2 linked regions of the Rattus norvegicus genome follow. The protein of the gene in region 2 interacts with the protein of the main gene of each other region in a biochemical or structural test. Links are inferred from orthologs where the notes say so. Each region holds a gene or a part of one and is shown on either strand. Other genes may lie near its edges.

Region 1 (7,771 bases), on a different chromosome or scaffold from region 2:
AAACTATTAAACTCAGTCACTAAAAGAGAAACAGAAAGCAGGAGGGGGTTGTTGGAAAGAAGGGTTCCAGAGAGGAAGAAAAGACAGGAGATAGACTTGTGTGTGATTCTGATCAAAATACATTATTACATACATGCATGTGCACACACAAAAAAGTCAATAAATATATTAACAATTTTTAAAAAAATGTTTCCCCATTGAGGAAATGGAGAAAATTCTATGTAAACACAGCTGTTTTTTGGTATTCATAAGGAATCTGTGAGGATATAAAATCTGAGGCTGTAGCAGTCTCGTTCAGGACGTGGTGTGGTGTTTGAGTCCGTGTGTCCAGCCTCCCCTTATCTTCCATCATTTGGGGATGCCTTATGGTACACTGCAGTATACTGGAGAGACTATGTCAACCAGCTGCTACTTTGTACTGCTGAGGGATAATGACAAGAAAAAGTACACTGCCAGTACAGATTTTTCCTTATTAGTTCAATCCATGGCAGGCTACATCTGCAGGTACAGAACCCATCCATGCGGAGGGCCAGGTGAAAGGCCCTTGCCTCACTGTTAGCATTTTAAAGTAACATAAATTATGAAGTCTTCTCTCTTACCAGGTGGTGGGACCTGCCATGGTAGCGCGCCCTCACGATCTTGGCTAACGAGAGTACTTTCCGGTGACCTACCCTAGGAGTCTGTCTCCCTGATTACAACTCAAGCCCTGGATTCCACCAGGGAGGATGATCTTCGGGCAGGCATCACCAGAAGTGAGGCAAGTGATACACAACTGTAACTAAGGGGCCGATTAGAGGGGTGAGAACAGACAAACGTTAATTCCTCAACTCGTCCTGGATGCGGCCCCAGGGTGCACCCAAGCACTGTGTTTAAACCAGACCCTCAGGAGGCTCCGACTTTGCTGACTGCTCAGCCTCAGATTTATCAGCCTCACTGACGACTTGGGTCACTGATGGTTGCACAGACTTTTTATTCCTGTCCTCAATGCTCAGGACAAGCAATGGCAAAATTTTATTCTGAGTCTTAGGCCTTCTCCCTGCCCATTAAATGCCCATTACCCAGATGGGTCACTTGTTTGCACAGCCTCAGGGCATGGGACAGAGGTAGGGTGGGATGGTGGTGTTCAGAGTCGTTTTCTCTGCCTACTGTGTCTTTATAGTTGTTTTGGTAGGAATTTAACACTCATTAAAAGAAGGGAAACATTTCCTTTTAACAAATTACAAGTTGTTTCAAATTATCACTGAAAAAATAAATAAGCAATTATGTGCAATCCTGTCTACCAAGAAGCCGTCGACACTGTGTCTCTCCAAGGGCCTAACTGTAAAGAATTACCTCTCTTCTTTGTCTTGCTTTTTTTCGTGTAGGGTTTCTCTGTGTAGCCCTGGCTGTCCTGGTACTCCAGTTGTAGACCAGGCTGGCCTTGAACTCCCTGAGATCCTCCTGCCTCTGCCTCTTGAGTGCTGGGATTAAAGGTGTGTGCCAGCACCACCTGGCAAGAATTACCTTTCGTGAGAGAACCACTAGAGGCCAAAACTGGACCTCACCTCATTACCATGTCCACTGGGAACTTTTATTAAGTAAAAGTAGATGCTAAGATCGGATACAGAATGAAGCATCCAGTTTTCTCTTCAAAAATAGTATAATGTGTGTGTGCCTTGTGTATGTGTAACTGCTATTCAAAGTAGCAATATCCCTGCTTCCCACAAGAAAGATGGCATCAAAAAAAAAAAAAATTAAAACTATCCGCAGAGCAATCAATTAACTCAATGGGCAGACCTGGTCCTTCCTACTCTCGCACCTGCACCATCTACCATTGGTCAGACTACCCGAGTCTGACAGTTTTGGGGTCTCTAATGTGCTTTCCAAATTACAAAAACACATTGTAATTAAGAGTTAAATTACTTGCTGTGGCCTTAAACAAACAGGTGTGCTTTTTCAACCTGTGAAATTGGTAGTCTGTGGTCAGCAAGGTAGAGAGCTTGCTGAGGAAGAGAATCAGAGCAATACTGAGCAACGGGGGGCAGCCAATCAGGACAAAGCAGGTCCTACCATACGGGAACCAAGCACCCTCCTTCATCTTGGATTATTAGTTTTTGAGACAGGATTTCATATACCCTGGGATGGCTTTGAATGTATTATGTACCCAAGAGCCTTGAACCCCTGATCCTCCTGTCTCTGCCCTCTAGGTGAGGATTATAGGCATGCACTACAACACCCAGCTCCTCCCGTTTAATTATAACAGTGGGGACTTGTTATAAATGCTTTAAATAGCACAGAGGAGAACAAAGTCAAAATGTTCCGCAAATTCTTACCGGAGGCTTGACAAAAGCTAAACCCTGAAGGTGCTGCTGTAGAGGTAGTGGCCGAGGTGCTACCAAACACAGAGCCTCCCTGCCCAAAGCCCGGGCTCTGACCAAAAGCAGGAGGGTTGTTTTGGCCAAATAGCGTCCCTCCTGTATTGGTAGAAGCCTGTCCAAATGAGAAGGAACCAGGGCTGCTGGTACTTGAGGTGGCTCCGAAGACATTGGCACTGGTGGATGTGGGGGTGGAGGAGACAGACTGGCCAAAAGCAGGGACAGAGCTGAACCCAGGTTGGCTGAAGGAGAAGCCACTCGCAGGGCTGCTTGTTGCTTGCCCAAAGGCTGGGGACTGCCCAAATGCTGTCTGTCCGAACACTCCAGGAGCCGAAGCACCAAACGCAGGGCTGCCAAATCCTGAACTGCTGGCCTGTGGCGTGGCAGCGGCTGTGCTGGCTATGCTGGCTGCCACTTGCCCAAACACGGGGGTGGCGGAGGGTGCAGTGGCCGTGTTACTGGAGAGCTGGTTGAATGCTGAGCTCGAACTGGCAGCAGGCGGCTGTGTAAAGACTGAGGAGCCAGAAGTGGCAGTCCCAAATACAGCTGTCTCTGTGGCAGGAGTTGGGGTACTGCTGGAGACAGTGCTGGAGGTACTAGGGGTACCGGAAGCTTCACTGGCTGCCGAGCCTGCTCCTAGGAGAACAGCTGCAACCACGGCCGGCCCAGGCCCTGCAAAGGTGGAAGCAGGGGACACTGCTTCTGTCTTGCTATCAGGGCCCCCTGGGGCGACTGGAGTGGATTCTGTGGATGCCACAAGGCTGGCAGAAGATGATGGTCTGCTGTCTGTGGTCTGCGCAGGAACAGGTTCTTTTTTGACAGGGTCAGAAGTTTGCAGAGATGCCTGGGGAAGCTGGGCTGACGGTGGCTGTAGTGGAAGTGAGGGTGTTGATGCTGACACTTCACTGTGGTCTGACTTGTCAGGCACAGCTGGTGGTGTGGCCTCCTCTGTGATCTTACCAGAAGACACAGGCAGGGAAGAAGCTGATGGTGAACTCAGGAGGCCACCAAATGACAAAGTAGGGAAAGATGCTGGAAGGGAAGGGGCAACTGAGGTGGATGCTGGGGTAGCTGCTGCTGCTGCTGCACTACTAGTCTGTTGGTTTCCAAATGAGAAACTAGCTTTGCTACTAGCCAAAGAGGCCCCACTAAAACTCATGAGCCCGGAAGGTGCAGCACTGGTAAGGGGCACACTGCCAAAGACAGTTGCCGAGGAACTGCTAGTGCTCGCACTCAGAGCTGAGACTGGTGCCGCTGGGGCAGAGGACGTCACACTGGGCTCCACTGGCTTCCCTAACACGGAAGCAGCAGGAAAGCTAAACCCTGAGGGCTTGGCTGGCTGGGCTCCGGCCAGGTTTGTGGAGGAGGCCTTACTAACGGGCTTTGTAGACTCCTCAGCCTGGCCAACACGCAGTCCTGAGAAGCTCCCTAGCGTCTCTCCAGCTAGAGAACTTGGGAAGAGAAGCTCTCCTAACTTGGATGGTGGAGTTTCCAATTTGCTAGAGGCAGTGGACACAGGAGTTTCAGGAGTTGCAGGTTTGCTGCTGGTTGGAGCAGAGTCTTCCAGAGACGTAGTTGTTACAGAAGTGCTGGGTGCTGATGGGGGTCCCGTGGCAGGGGGGTTTCCAGGAATGGTCTCACAAAAAGGTTTGCCTCCCCCGCCAAATGAGAACGCCTCAAGCTGGTTTGACTCTTTAGTGGGGGGTGCTGCCCCTAGCAAGAAAAAGAAACCAGGAAAAGAGTTGGACTTAGCAGAATAGAATTCATTGCACTTCCACTGACTGCCCCTCTAAGGCAATCTTTTTCTTCAGTCAGGGAAGAGACTTATGGCTCTAACAGCAGGGTTCTCTCCAAAGGGTGGATTGGCCACTTGCTCTGCACAGAAGCGTTAGCCCTGACAGAGTCAGCTCTCAAGGGGGAAGGAATGAAGATTTTGTTTATGATCACTATATCACAACAACACGTGACATCTAGGATACATGAAACGGACACATTTTCCCCAAAGAAAAGTACAACAGCACCTACCTGTGCTACTTGCTAGGCTGCGCTCAACACAGTGCCCTGGGCAATGGCTTCCCTCCCACTGTGGGCACCAGCTAATCTATGAACAATCCTCATAGCCCAATTGGACCAAGACTGGAAGCCCTTCACTGTTCAAGGTCAGAGTCACCCGTAGATGGTAATTTCTACTACAATTAAGCGTTTACCAGGGCCTTACTGAGCATGGCATTGTATTACTGGTGATGTTGCTTACGGCACTGGGTTGTCACCCACTGCTGTACTGATCCGGAGTTAATGTAGGATCACTGCATCTTATCCTGACTATTTCCTAAAGACTTGCTTCTCAAAGTAAAGGAGACACCATGTCTCATAATAAAAAATTGAAAAAAGATTTGTTAAATACAAAGCATTAGGTTCTATTCCCAGCACACACATAGAAAAGGCTTGTTGATTAAGAAACCTAAGATGATGGATGTCTTATTTATCACATGCATAGTCCAAAAACACACTAAAAAGAGTAGACAGACGATAAAAGCATAGCAAGGCCATGGGAGAGAACCGTGAGTCACTAGCATGACTCCCTGACCCCTAGACAGGGTCTTGCCTATGCCTAGCAAGTGTACCAAAGCTACACCCACCTTCCAGTCCTTTCTATTTTATTTAGAGGAGTCCAGTGCTAAGTTGCCCCAGCTGGCCTTGACTAACTCTGTAGTCTAGACAGGCTTTACATTTGAGAGCCTCCTATCTCAACTTCTGTGTAGCTGAGACTCCAAGCCTGTGTCAGCAAGTCCAGCAAAGGTGACAAGAAGACATGAAGTTAATGAGAGCCAGGTAAAGACAAAACTCTGCAAAGAAAAGCACAAATGCAGTAGCTGCTACCGAGTGACTTGAAACTCCATCGTACATTTTATATCCCACAATTTCCTAACAAAAACATGCCACAGTAAAATAAAACAAAAATATATTTAATTACTTAGATAAAGCTGGGAGGAACTTGACAAACTGTTCTCTTTTGGGTGGGTCTGGATTCCTAGCACAGGTATGTGGACCAGTGTTTAGGACCAGGTTTGATCTTTTACCTCCATGGTATATTGTCCACCAAGTTTGCATGTAACATTAGAATGTTATAGCAAACGAGGCTTTGAGAAGCAAGTCTTTTCCCTTTTTATAGTTATGTAAACAGATCTCCTTCACAACAGATTCTTTAAAAATTATTGCATTAAAATATTTTATTTGTGTGTGTTTGCAAGTCACAGAGAATGTGGCAGGCAGAGGGCAGGGCTGGCCCGGGCACTGAGCCCCCTCAGCAGCCCCATATCGAGCTCTGGGTTAAACACTGCTGTGGCTCTGCTGCTGTGAATTCAAGCCAGGGTGTTTGTGTGCTGGGAAGGCGCCCTGCCAAGCCGCTCTCAGCCCTTTCTCGTGTCTCTGATAAACATCATCACTACCAACCTGACTGTACTACAAAGTTACAATGTACCACCCTACACATTCCCATTCAGCGGTTCTTCCAGGAGGGAAGTACGAATGAACACCAATGCAGCACGGGACTGTACCTGGTGTGGCAGTGAAACTAGAAGATGGGGCTGGTGTGATTGTCCCAAAAGTAAAGGTCCTGAGGAGTAGAAAAAGACGAGTTAAAACGGAGCAAACTTAACACAGCATTGGCTTTTAAAGATTCCTCCTTATAATCATTCATACAATATGCCCTTGAAGAATTCACATCTAGTGATCAGCAACAGCTGAGTTAAAATACACATCTCAGAGGTGTCCAGCACCTTCAAGCAGGGCACACACTTTGGAGAGGAGGCAGGAAGGAGCAGCAGCAGCAGGAAGGCTTTGGCTGGATGGCTGGGTTCTCCACAGGAGGCCTGGGAAGACCTGTGTTTTAAAAAGTAAAGTGCAGCAGTAAAAACACACTAGGCCTGTGCAGATGACACTGGAGCAGACACTGCCGAGTGAGTGTGTACAATGAAAGGCAGTCAAGGAGCAGGAGAAGAGGGAGAATCTCTGGGCACCTGCCTTAAGTCAAGGAGCATGTGGGCGGGAGTGCTGCTGTGCAGGGAAGGTGGCAGCAGGAGTACAGAGCGACAGACTGTTAACAGCAGCAGGAATGCAGATTTTCCACTGAATAACTCAAAAATAAGCCTATCTAATTCAGTGCATAATGCCAGGATTCAGTGTTAGAGGACATCTGAACCTGCCTCTACTTAGGGCATTGGCTCAACCCTATCACACACCTTTCTTTCCTTCCTTCCTCCCTTTCATTTTTAAAGGTTTATTTATTTTATTACATATAAGCACACTGTAGCTGTCTTCAGACACACCATAAGAGGTCATCAGATCCATTACAGATGGTTGTGAGCTACCATGTGGTTGTTGGGATTTGAACTCAGGACCTCTGGAAGAGCAGTCAGTGCTCTCAAGCGCTGAGCTATCTCCTAGCCCATAGCACACATCTTTAATCCCTCTGTCGGGAATACAAGCTCTTAGTACTTACCTTTAATCCCAAACAATGAAGCTAAAGTTAGTTTGTAGAAGGAAGCAGCCATGTTTGAAAGTGACATCAGAATAGGATAGGCCCAGCTCTCACAAGAAAAGAGGAAGGGAAGGGAAGCTACTCGAGAGAGAGACAGTACAGGAGGAAGACAGTACAGTACAGGAATACAGTAGAGTTGAGAGGGAGAGTAGAACAGCAAGGAGGGGGAGAAGGAGGCAGTTTTCCTGGGAGAGTTTTACAGAAACAGATTGAAGAGAGAACACAGGTGAAGACAGAACAAGCCAGAGAACGAGGAGCCAGAAGATTAGAACAGATTGCTAGAGTTAGTCTGATGCCAAGCCGAGCACTTCAGAGGCTGAAGAGAAAAGCCAGATTGAATCAGTCAGCTTGGAGAGGAGTTTGAGCCATAAGAGCTGAGTTGAACAAGCCAGAAAGAGCTCAGAGACAGTAGAAAGGGTGAGCTTATTCAGCAGCCAGTCTCAGAGGTTGAAAACATTCTAGGCCTGGATTAGACTGTATGAAGGTGAGAAGCTTCCAGGACTAGGTCTAGGTTAGCAAGCAGGTGGAGGCATTTGATAAAGAAATTTAATCAAAGAGATCAGCCATTGGCTCTCTGACCCAAATCTTTCCAGCTTTCTTTACAAACTGGAAGAGCACTACCCTTTTAGAGACATGAAGATTAATTATTGTATTTGTAAAAGATGCGGTTATCCTTGGCTTTTACCTACGCTCTATACTCATCTCTGGGAGGTAACAGATGCAATGACTTACAGCAATGGAGAGACGCGCACGCGCAGTCCGAGTTAACCTAGTGCTTCTTCTCACTTTCTGCTGAAGGATGTGCAGAAACACATTATTCAGAAGACCTGGAGTGCGGGTGAGTGGAGCCCTAGTGCAGAGGCAGACAGTGAAAGCA
Region 2 (8,210 bases):
GAAACTACAGCTACTAAACTGATTCTGTCAAGTATCACTTTACAAGGTGAGACGAGAAACGACAAAGACAATAAATAACAGGTCTACATAATTCAGTGGGTCACTATTCAAAGCAGACCAATTATTCACTTACTATCTCACTCGGGGGCCATCCTGGGGATCATTCATTGCCACATCTCCATCATCTTCCTCAAACCGGGAAGACCGTATACCAGAACCACCTCTTCCAGACCTACGATTCCCCTCACCACACTTCCATCGGAAAGGCCCCCGACCTTTCTTTCTTCTTTGTGGGAAACTAACACGGTCATCATGTTCTGGAGATGGAAACAGACACAGAAATTAGTAAATATATGAGGGGTCCTAGTTACCTTGGTGTAACCACCAGTTTCTAGTACTCTGTACTCTTAGAAAAAACAGATTTTAACTACAAAGGCTTCCTCCATAGAGATGCCTATGCCCTAGCCAGAGCAAAGAACTTTCTCTAGGACATCAATATCATGAACAAGTTATTGGAAACTATAGGGATGTTGGAAAAGGGTCAAGAATGTACCTCAGGGCACTGGAGAAATAACTTACCACACTGCCATCACAGGGTTTCTCTGTGTAGCTCTGGCTATCCTAGAACTAACTGTAGACCAAGTTGGCCTTGTAGATTCACCTGCCTCTACCTCCCCAGGTGCTGGGATTAAATGAGCCACCACCCCCTGTAAGATGCCTTTTTTTTTTTATTTATCCCTTTAAAAAAAAAAGACTTATTTATTTTATATATGTGAATATACTGTTGCTGTCTTCAGATACACCAGAAGAGGACATCAGATGCCCATTACAGATGGTTGTGAGCCACCATGTTGGTGCTGGGAATTGAACTCAGGACCTCTGGAAGAGCAGAGCCATCTCTTCAGCCCCTACTTATTCTTTTTTTTTTTTTTTTTTTTGGTTCTTTTTTTCGGAGCTGGGGACCGAACCCAGGGCCTTGCGCTTCCTAGGTAAGCGCTCTACCACTGAGCTAAATCCCCAGCCCCTCTTTTTTTATACAATATATTCTGACTGGGGCTTCTCCTCCCTCCACTTCTCCCAGTCTTCCCCCACCCAACTCCTTTCTCCCCCCAGATCCAGTGTTTCTCTTTTTCCACATCTGCTCCCATTAGCTTCTGGGAAGCCTCTGTGTTTGGGCTAGGAATAGTGTTCTTAAGAAAACTAGCTGCGGGGGTTGGGGATTTAGCTCAGTGGTAGAGCGCTTGCCTAGGAGCGCAAGGCCCTGGGTTCGGTCCCCAGCTCTGGAAAAAAAAAAAAAAAAGAAAACTAGCTGCGGGGTGGGCATTTAGCTCAGTGGTAGAGCGCTTGTCTAGCAAGCAAAAGGCCCTGGGTTCGGTCCCCAGCTCCGAAAAAAAAGAAAAAGAAAAAGAAAAAAAAAAAAAAAGGCAGAAGGGAAGAGCCTCCCCAGAAGTTCATATGAACAACCTTAACTAAACTCAGTAGGTTAGAGGCTGGGGGGGAAAAAAATCACTCAATGATTAGAGCACTAGCTGCTCTTCTAAAGGACCCAGAATGGGCTTCCAGCACCCACACAGTAGCTAACAGCTGTGCACTGTAGTGTAGGTGCTGAGAATCAAAGCTAGTATTCTGGAAAGTGTTCTTAAGCAATGAGTCTCCGTGAGTATATGCTTGACCCTTTTATTTTTCAATATTCCTAGGTTTTCCAATAACTTGTTCCTGATGTTGATGTCCTATAGAGATCTTTCCTTTGTCAAGGGCTCTGATATCTGCATGGAAGTGGCCTCTGTAGTTAACTCCAGGGAAGCCAATGTCCTCTTCCAGCCTCTGCAGGCACCAGACATACACATGATAGAAAAATAAACACATAGGCAAAATACTCAGACACAGAAAAAAAATAAACTCTTAAAAACAAAGAGTAGGGAGCTGAGAGATGGCTCAGGGCTTAAGAGCACTGGCTGCTTTCCCAGAGGTCCTGACTTCAATTCCCAGCAACCACATGGTGGCTCACAACCACCCTTAATTGGATCCAATGACCTCTTCTGGTGTGTCAGCAACAGTGTGCTCATATACATAAAATAAATAAATCTTTAAAAAAAAAAAAAAAGAGTAGGGCTAGAGAGATGGCTCAACGGTTTAGAGCACTGGCTGCTCTTACAGAGGTCCTGAGTTCAAATCCCACAGTGGTTCAAGATTATCTATAAAGGAATCTGATGCCCCCTTCTGGCATGCAGGTGTACATGCACCAGAGCACTTATACATTAAATAAAGTAAGTAAACAAAGTAAATAAGTAAAAACAAAAGAGTAATGAAAGGGGCACACAATCACAATACACTGTGTATTATATGTATAAAATTGCCAGAAAATTTAGAATTTAAAGAAAAAAGGGGTTGGGGATTTAGCTCAGTGGTAGAGCGCTTGCCTATCAAGCGCAAGGCCCTGGGTTCGGTCCCCAGTTCTGAAAAAAAGAAAAGGAAAAAAAAAAAAGAAAGAAAGAAAAAAGAAAAACAAAAATACCCAGAAACCAGTTCCTACAGAGAGTAGAATGTGGAAGTGTGAGCAACCCCAAAATCTAACCAGACCCCTGAAAAACCACGTGAAATCTGCCACTTGCTGTACAATTGATGGTTACAGAGCCAGATGTTGTGGCCAACACCTGTAATCCTGGCAATTGGGAAGGGGAGGCTTCAATTACACAAAGTTTTCAAAGCCATCCTGGGCTACATGAGATTCTCGAAAAATAAAGAATTCTTACAAATATGATGTAAAGTCTCTTAAAAACAACTACCATCTTCTGCACTCTGAATTTAGGAAATGCTAGTTTCTTTGGGGAAAAAAAAAAACACCTCAAGGAACTTCTAGATTCAGGGTCTGGTGCAGGTTCCACATTAGAGTCCTCCAATATAACTAGTGTTTGAAGCAGGAGGAATCCAAGTTCCAGATCAGCTAAGAGTATACCTTAAAAAGGGAAAGAAGCGGGGCTGGGGATTTAGCTCAGTCGTAGAGCGCTTACCTAGGAAGCGTAAGGCCCTGGGTTCGGTCCCCAGCTCCGAAAAAAAAGAACCAAAAAGAAAAAAAAAAAAAAAAAAAAGGGAAAGAAGCCAAACATTGTGACCCACAACTTAATTCCAGACAGTGGCAGAGTTCTGAAAGCCAGCCTGGTCTTTTCAGTGTGTTCTAGATCATTCAGAACTACACTTTGAGACACTGTTTCAGTAAACAAATACATAAATAAATAAATAAATAGAACCAAGTGTAGTAGTACACCGTTTAAGGGAAGAGGATCTGAGCTACACAGAGTTTAAGGCCAGACTGGGATTGAAACCCTGTTTCTCTTAGTGTTTGGTCTGCCTATATATAGACAAAACGAATAAAAGGAGGGCTAAGGATACTGATTAGTTGATAAAGTGCTTGTCTATCCTTCCACACTCAAAAAGATCACCCAGACTGAGGCTGAGGCAGAATTCAAAACTTCAAGTCAGTCTGGGCAACTTGGCAAACCATCTCAAAAAAATAACAAGGGATGGGAATATAGCTCTGTGGGAGAACAGAAAGCCGGGCACACTATGTATGTAGTGGAGGATGACCTTGAACCTCTCTGATCCTCTTACCTTAAACAATGTACTACTACACTTGGTTCTATTTATTTACCTTTTGTCAGACCTTAAGTTCAACCCTAGAACCAAAAAAAAAAAAAAAAAAAAAAAAAAAGTAAACCGTAAACATCTGTGAGGCAGGCATGGTGGGTGGCACATGCCTGCCTGCAATGCTGAGCTTGGGAAGCTGACACAGTAAGACTGACTGAAGCCAGCCTGGGCTGACCCTATAAGGGAGAATTAGCCTTTCCAAGGGACAAACTCCCCAAATGGCTAGCCAATCCCAAATGGTATGCTTTACAAACTAATACATAACACTAAATGAACTCAGCAAGTTGCATGAATTTGGCGAGAGGAGTGGATGACAGGTGAGTGGCTGGAGGAAGGAGATCAATTATATTTGAATTAAAATAAAAGGTCATTGGGTAGAGATTTTTCAGGCATAGATAAGTCATCAGCACCACACAAGCACAAAAAAAGATTCATAACTTTCAAAGAAATCTACCTAATTTCTAGTATCTAATACCTAATATCAAGTGACCCTAGTAAAAAGGAATACATTAAAGAGACAGTCCAAGTACGGTTCACTGAAAAATCCCCACTCCAGTCACTGTGTTTGAGGCACTTAATAAAATGATCTCTCTCTCTCTCTCTCTCTCTCTCTCTCTCTCTCTCTCTCTCTCTCACACACACACACACACACACACACACACACACACACACACACACACACACACACACACGGGACACGGGAGACAAGTACCCACATGAAAGAGATGGAAAACAAGGCCTCAAAGTTTAACTCACTCGGGGTTAGCACAGCCAACTTCAGATTCAAACCTCAGCTGTCATACTGTCCTAACCACCACAATGAATTAACAAGTCAGGGTAGGTGTGCGGGCTAGAAAACTGGGTAAACAATAAGCAGCAAGCTGCAAGAACAGACTGATCGTATTTAAAAAAAAAAAAAAAATAGGGCACCAGGGTAGCCTGACTACTGACTCACATTTAAAGGAAGAGTCCGGCTGCCAAACTGAACTGACAGGCATCAACCACCCTCAAAGTTGAAAGGAAATCTTGTCACCTCACCCCTGAGCCACAGGTCCTCCAACGCCAGAATCCGGGCGACTCTGGAGTCCCCGGGTCCCGCGGCGTCCCGCGCCCCCTGCCCGCGCGGCCACCGCTACCTACGGACGTAGGGCTCCTCGCGGCCTCCCGCCCCCGGGCTGAGGCCTAGGCCGGGGCCGCCCACCCTGACCCACCGCGTCGCCTCCCGGCCCGAGGCCCCGCACTAACCGTTGTATGACTTCCCTTCGTCCGCCATGGCACAGGCAGGTACAGGGGCGGGCTCAGGCGCAGAACCTGACGCCACCAAACACCCGGACGCCTTGGCGCTCAGGACAGAAGCTCTCCTACGACCGGCGCCACCGCATTTATCCGGCGAAGCACGTCGCGCGCAGCCGACGTCCCCAGGATGTGGGCGGTGCCGCGGGGCAGGAACGCGCTCTCTGAGCCTGCGCAGAAGCAGGGCGGCCGCTCGGAGGCGTGGCCAGGCCCTCCGAGGCCCGCCCACGGCCGGAGCTCGGGGCGCGATGGCTTGTAGGTCGGCCCCGCCTTCCTACTTCTCCGCTGGCCCGCAGCGCTGAGGTTTGCGCTGGAGCTGAGCGGTCTGCTTTAGCCCTGAACTCAGGAGCAGGGACGAGAGCTACACAGAAGAATGGAGACCTGGCCTCTGAACGGGAGTAACGGATCACAGTCCACGCAGGTGGGATCCCGGCAGCGTGTAAGTCGCAGCGCAGTTCCTTGCCAGCCGCCGGCTTATGCCCTCCCAGCCTTTCTCGCCTCTACGACGGATTATGACGAAATAGAAAATTGGAATGTAAGCCCCACTGGAACAGGAACCTTAACTTATGCGCAACTTTTCTTCCTCCAGCGTGCCTGGCACAGTATCATGCCCATTGTGAAACCCAAGTGTGAATTAAGCGAAATCCTGTCCTGTTCCCTTGTAGGTCTTCTACAAATTGCCTAATTAAAGCGTCAGGCGAGCTGTAGTGGCGCAGGTCTTTAAACCCGTATTTGGAAGGCAGAGGCAGGTGGATCTTTAAATTTGAGGCCAGTCTCAGCTCTATAGAAATTTCTAGAATAGCCAGAGCTTGTAGAGGCCCTGCCTCAAAAAAAAAAAAAAAAAAAAAGCTTTAGTCTTAGTACCAGTATTTTTGTCGACATAGCCAGTACAGAGATAGCGAAGGCTACATAGACGGTCTCAAAACAAAATTAGTAATCTAGTGAGCTATGATCTTCACCCCCAAGGCCCTGGCCATCATGCTGAAGCCTAATTGGTAAAACCCAGGTTAGCTAGGTAGGTAGGGAAAGTTGCTAGTATTGAGTGGTTTTGTTTGAGACAGGGTTTCTGTATAATTCTGGCTGTCCTGAAACTTGCTTTGTAGACCAAGTTGGCCTCAAACTCAAGAGATCCACTTGCGAGGTTGGGGATTTAGCTCAGTGGTAGAGCGCTTGCCTAGCAAGCACAAGGCCCTGGGTTCAGTCCCCAGCTCCGGAATAAAAAAAAAAAAAAAAAAATAATAATAATAATAATAATAAAAGAGATCCACTTGCTTCTAACTCCCAAGTGCTGGTTGAAATTTTTAGATGGCAAACCCAAGAGCTCTTCTAGTAAACCTTTGGTGTGACTAGGACTCTCCTCCATTCCTTGGACCCAGATGCTGCTGTAGGAGGGGAATCAGATGGGGCACTGGTAGGCACGGAGCATGACTTTAACACAGATCAGAAAGACAAAACAACTCATTAATCTCCCTTGAGGGTCTGTGTTAGGTGGGTCACCTCCATTTTGCAGTGGTTTTGCTCAGGATCTTAGAAGGTGCCAAAGAGCTGGGTACAAATTGGAGCTGGGCACAAATGCTCTTCACCCAGCAGCAGAGCTCTTGCTTCACTCAGTTCAAAAATCAGGACCAGGTGATTTGAAGATACAGGTTAAACAGGCTCAAACTGTTTGGGACAGCCCTAGAAGTTGACACCCAATAATGAGTCCACTTAGCTCCAGTTCAAAGGAAAATTCTAATTTAGTGCTGTTGTTACTTGGCCACTCCCTTTTAAGAGGGAGTTGTGGGTACAGAGCTCCAAAGCTGCTCTGCCTATCAATGGGGGCTGTCAAAGCCACCAACTTAACCCTTTTGGTTCTGGTATTAAGCAGTGGTTTGCTGGCTGCGGAAGCCCACGACGATCCCACCCAGAAACGACAACATCACTAGTGAGGCTGACAGTCTTGCTGTAATTGGGAGGAAACAGGCTGCAGCATGTTTGGCAGATTGAGAGTCACCAGTAGCCAAAGTCAGGTTTGTGCAACTGTAGGGCTCAGAGCCCCCCCCACCTCACATGGTGAGGAGAAGGTGGCAGTCAAGTTCTAGATGACCCAGATGATTAAGTTGGTCCCTGGGATAGTTTTACTTCCTCACCTCACTCTCCAGAAGGCAAGGAAGGGCATTGTTTCCTCTTGCTGCCAGTTACCTTTAGGGGAGGCTGGTCTGGGTTTATAAAAATCTCATGGTAGAGACAACCTCCCCACTGGCCCTAGCTGGCTTCTGTTCCCTGCCACTTCACAGCAGAGGCCAAATCCAGAACCAGTGTGTTTCATGGGCCTGAGGGTAGGACAGAGTGGCCAGAGACAAGGGTGGGGAATCAGGGACACTGGCCATTCTTAGCAGTTCCAAGGAAATGGCCTTTCTCCCAACTACCCTGCACAGGCTCAGTGGCAATAGTGGCCACCTGTCCTTCCAGAAGGGTTCCAGGCCCTCCATGGAGTGGCTCAGAATGAGGGAGGAGGGTTCAGGCAAGGAAGACCACAAAGATGATGAAGAAGACAATGAGGATGAGGAAGATTTTGACCATGAGCCACCGATTGGAGGTGACTGACTGGAAGTACTTGAGGATCTCTGAATGGGCGGCCTCAACATCCAGCTGGGCTCCAAGCACATTCTCGTCAATCCTGGAAACAGGAGATAAAACAGAGAGGAACACTGGGTTGAAGAAGGTTAAAGACATCCATTTATTGATATGGGAAGCTGATCACAATATGTAGAAGTAAAAAGTATTTGATACTACGTTAACTGTGTGTGTGTGTGTGTGTGTATACACATACATACATACATACATACATACATACACACACACACACACACACACATATCAAGTTTTTTGAGGGTAGTAGATCATGTTTGATTCTAGCTTTAAAGTGTCCTGCCAGTTATTAGCTTATGATTGAATTATTTAACCAGTCTTATTTTCCACATCTAAAAAATGAGATAAATGATATAAACCCTACTCCTTTCATGAGATTTCTTATTTATCTGTTTTTTTTTTTTATTTAAAGACTTATTTATTTTATGTATGTGAGTACACTGTCACTGTCTTCAGCCACACCAGAAGAGGGTAGGAGATCCCATTACAGATGGTTGAGAGCCACCATGTGGTTGCTGGGAATTGAACTCAGGACCTCTGGAAGAGCAGTCAGTGCTCTTAATCACTGAGCCATCTCTCCAGCTCCTCATGAGGTTTTAATTTTCAGTGAGTTAAATGAGCCTCCAATCTATATGAGTACC

The links. The genes of interacting proteins can lie anywhere in the genome.
Region 1: the proteins of Nxf1 (region 2) and Nup214 form a complex in vitro, tested with the Homo sapiens proteins (4 studies listed by BioGRID and IntAct). The link is inferred for Rattus norvegicus from reciprocal best matches to the Homo sapiens genes NXF1 and NUP214.

Annotation. Positions count from the first base shown.
Region 1 is NC_086021.1:35,709,308-35,717,078, reverse strand, and holds part of Nup214 (nuclear pore complex protein Nup214), read right to left. Parts: intron 5,971-7,771; coding exon 5,912-5,970; intron 4,068-5,911; coding exon 2,313-4,067; intron 1-2,312. UniProt on the Homo sapiens protein: Part of the nuclear pore complex. Has a critical role in nucleocytoplasmic transport.
Region 2 is NC_086019.1:215,081,339-215,089,548, reverse strand, and holds the start of Nxf1 (nuclear RNA export factor 1), read right to left. Parts: upstream 4,987-8,210; 5' UTR 4,919-4,986; coding exon 4,891-4,918; intron 318-4,890; coding exon 134-317; intron 1-133. Other genes in the region: Stx5 (syntaxin-5), read right to left, coding at 7,438-7,597.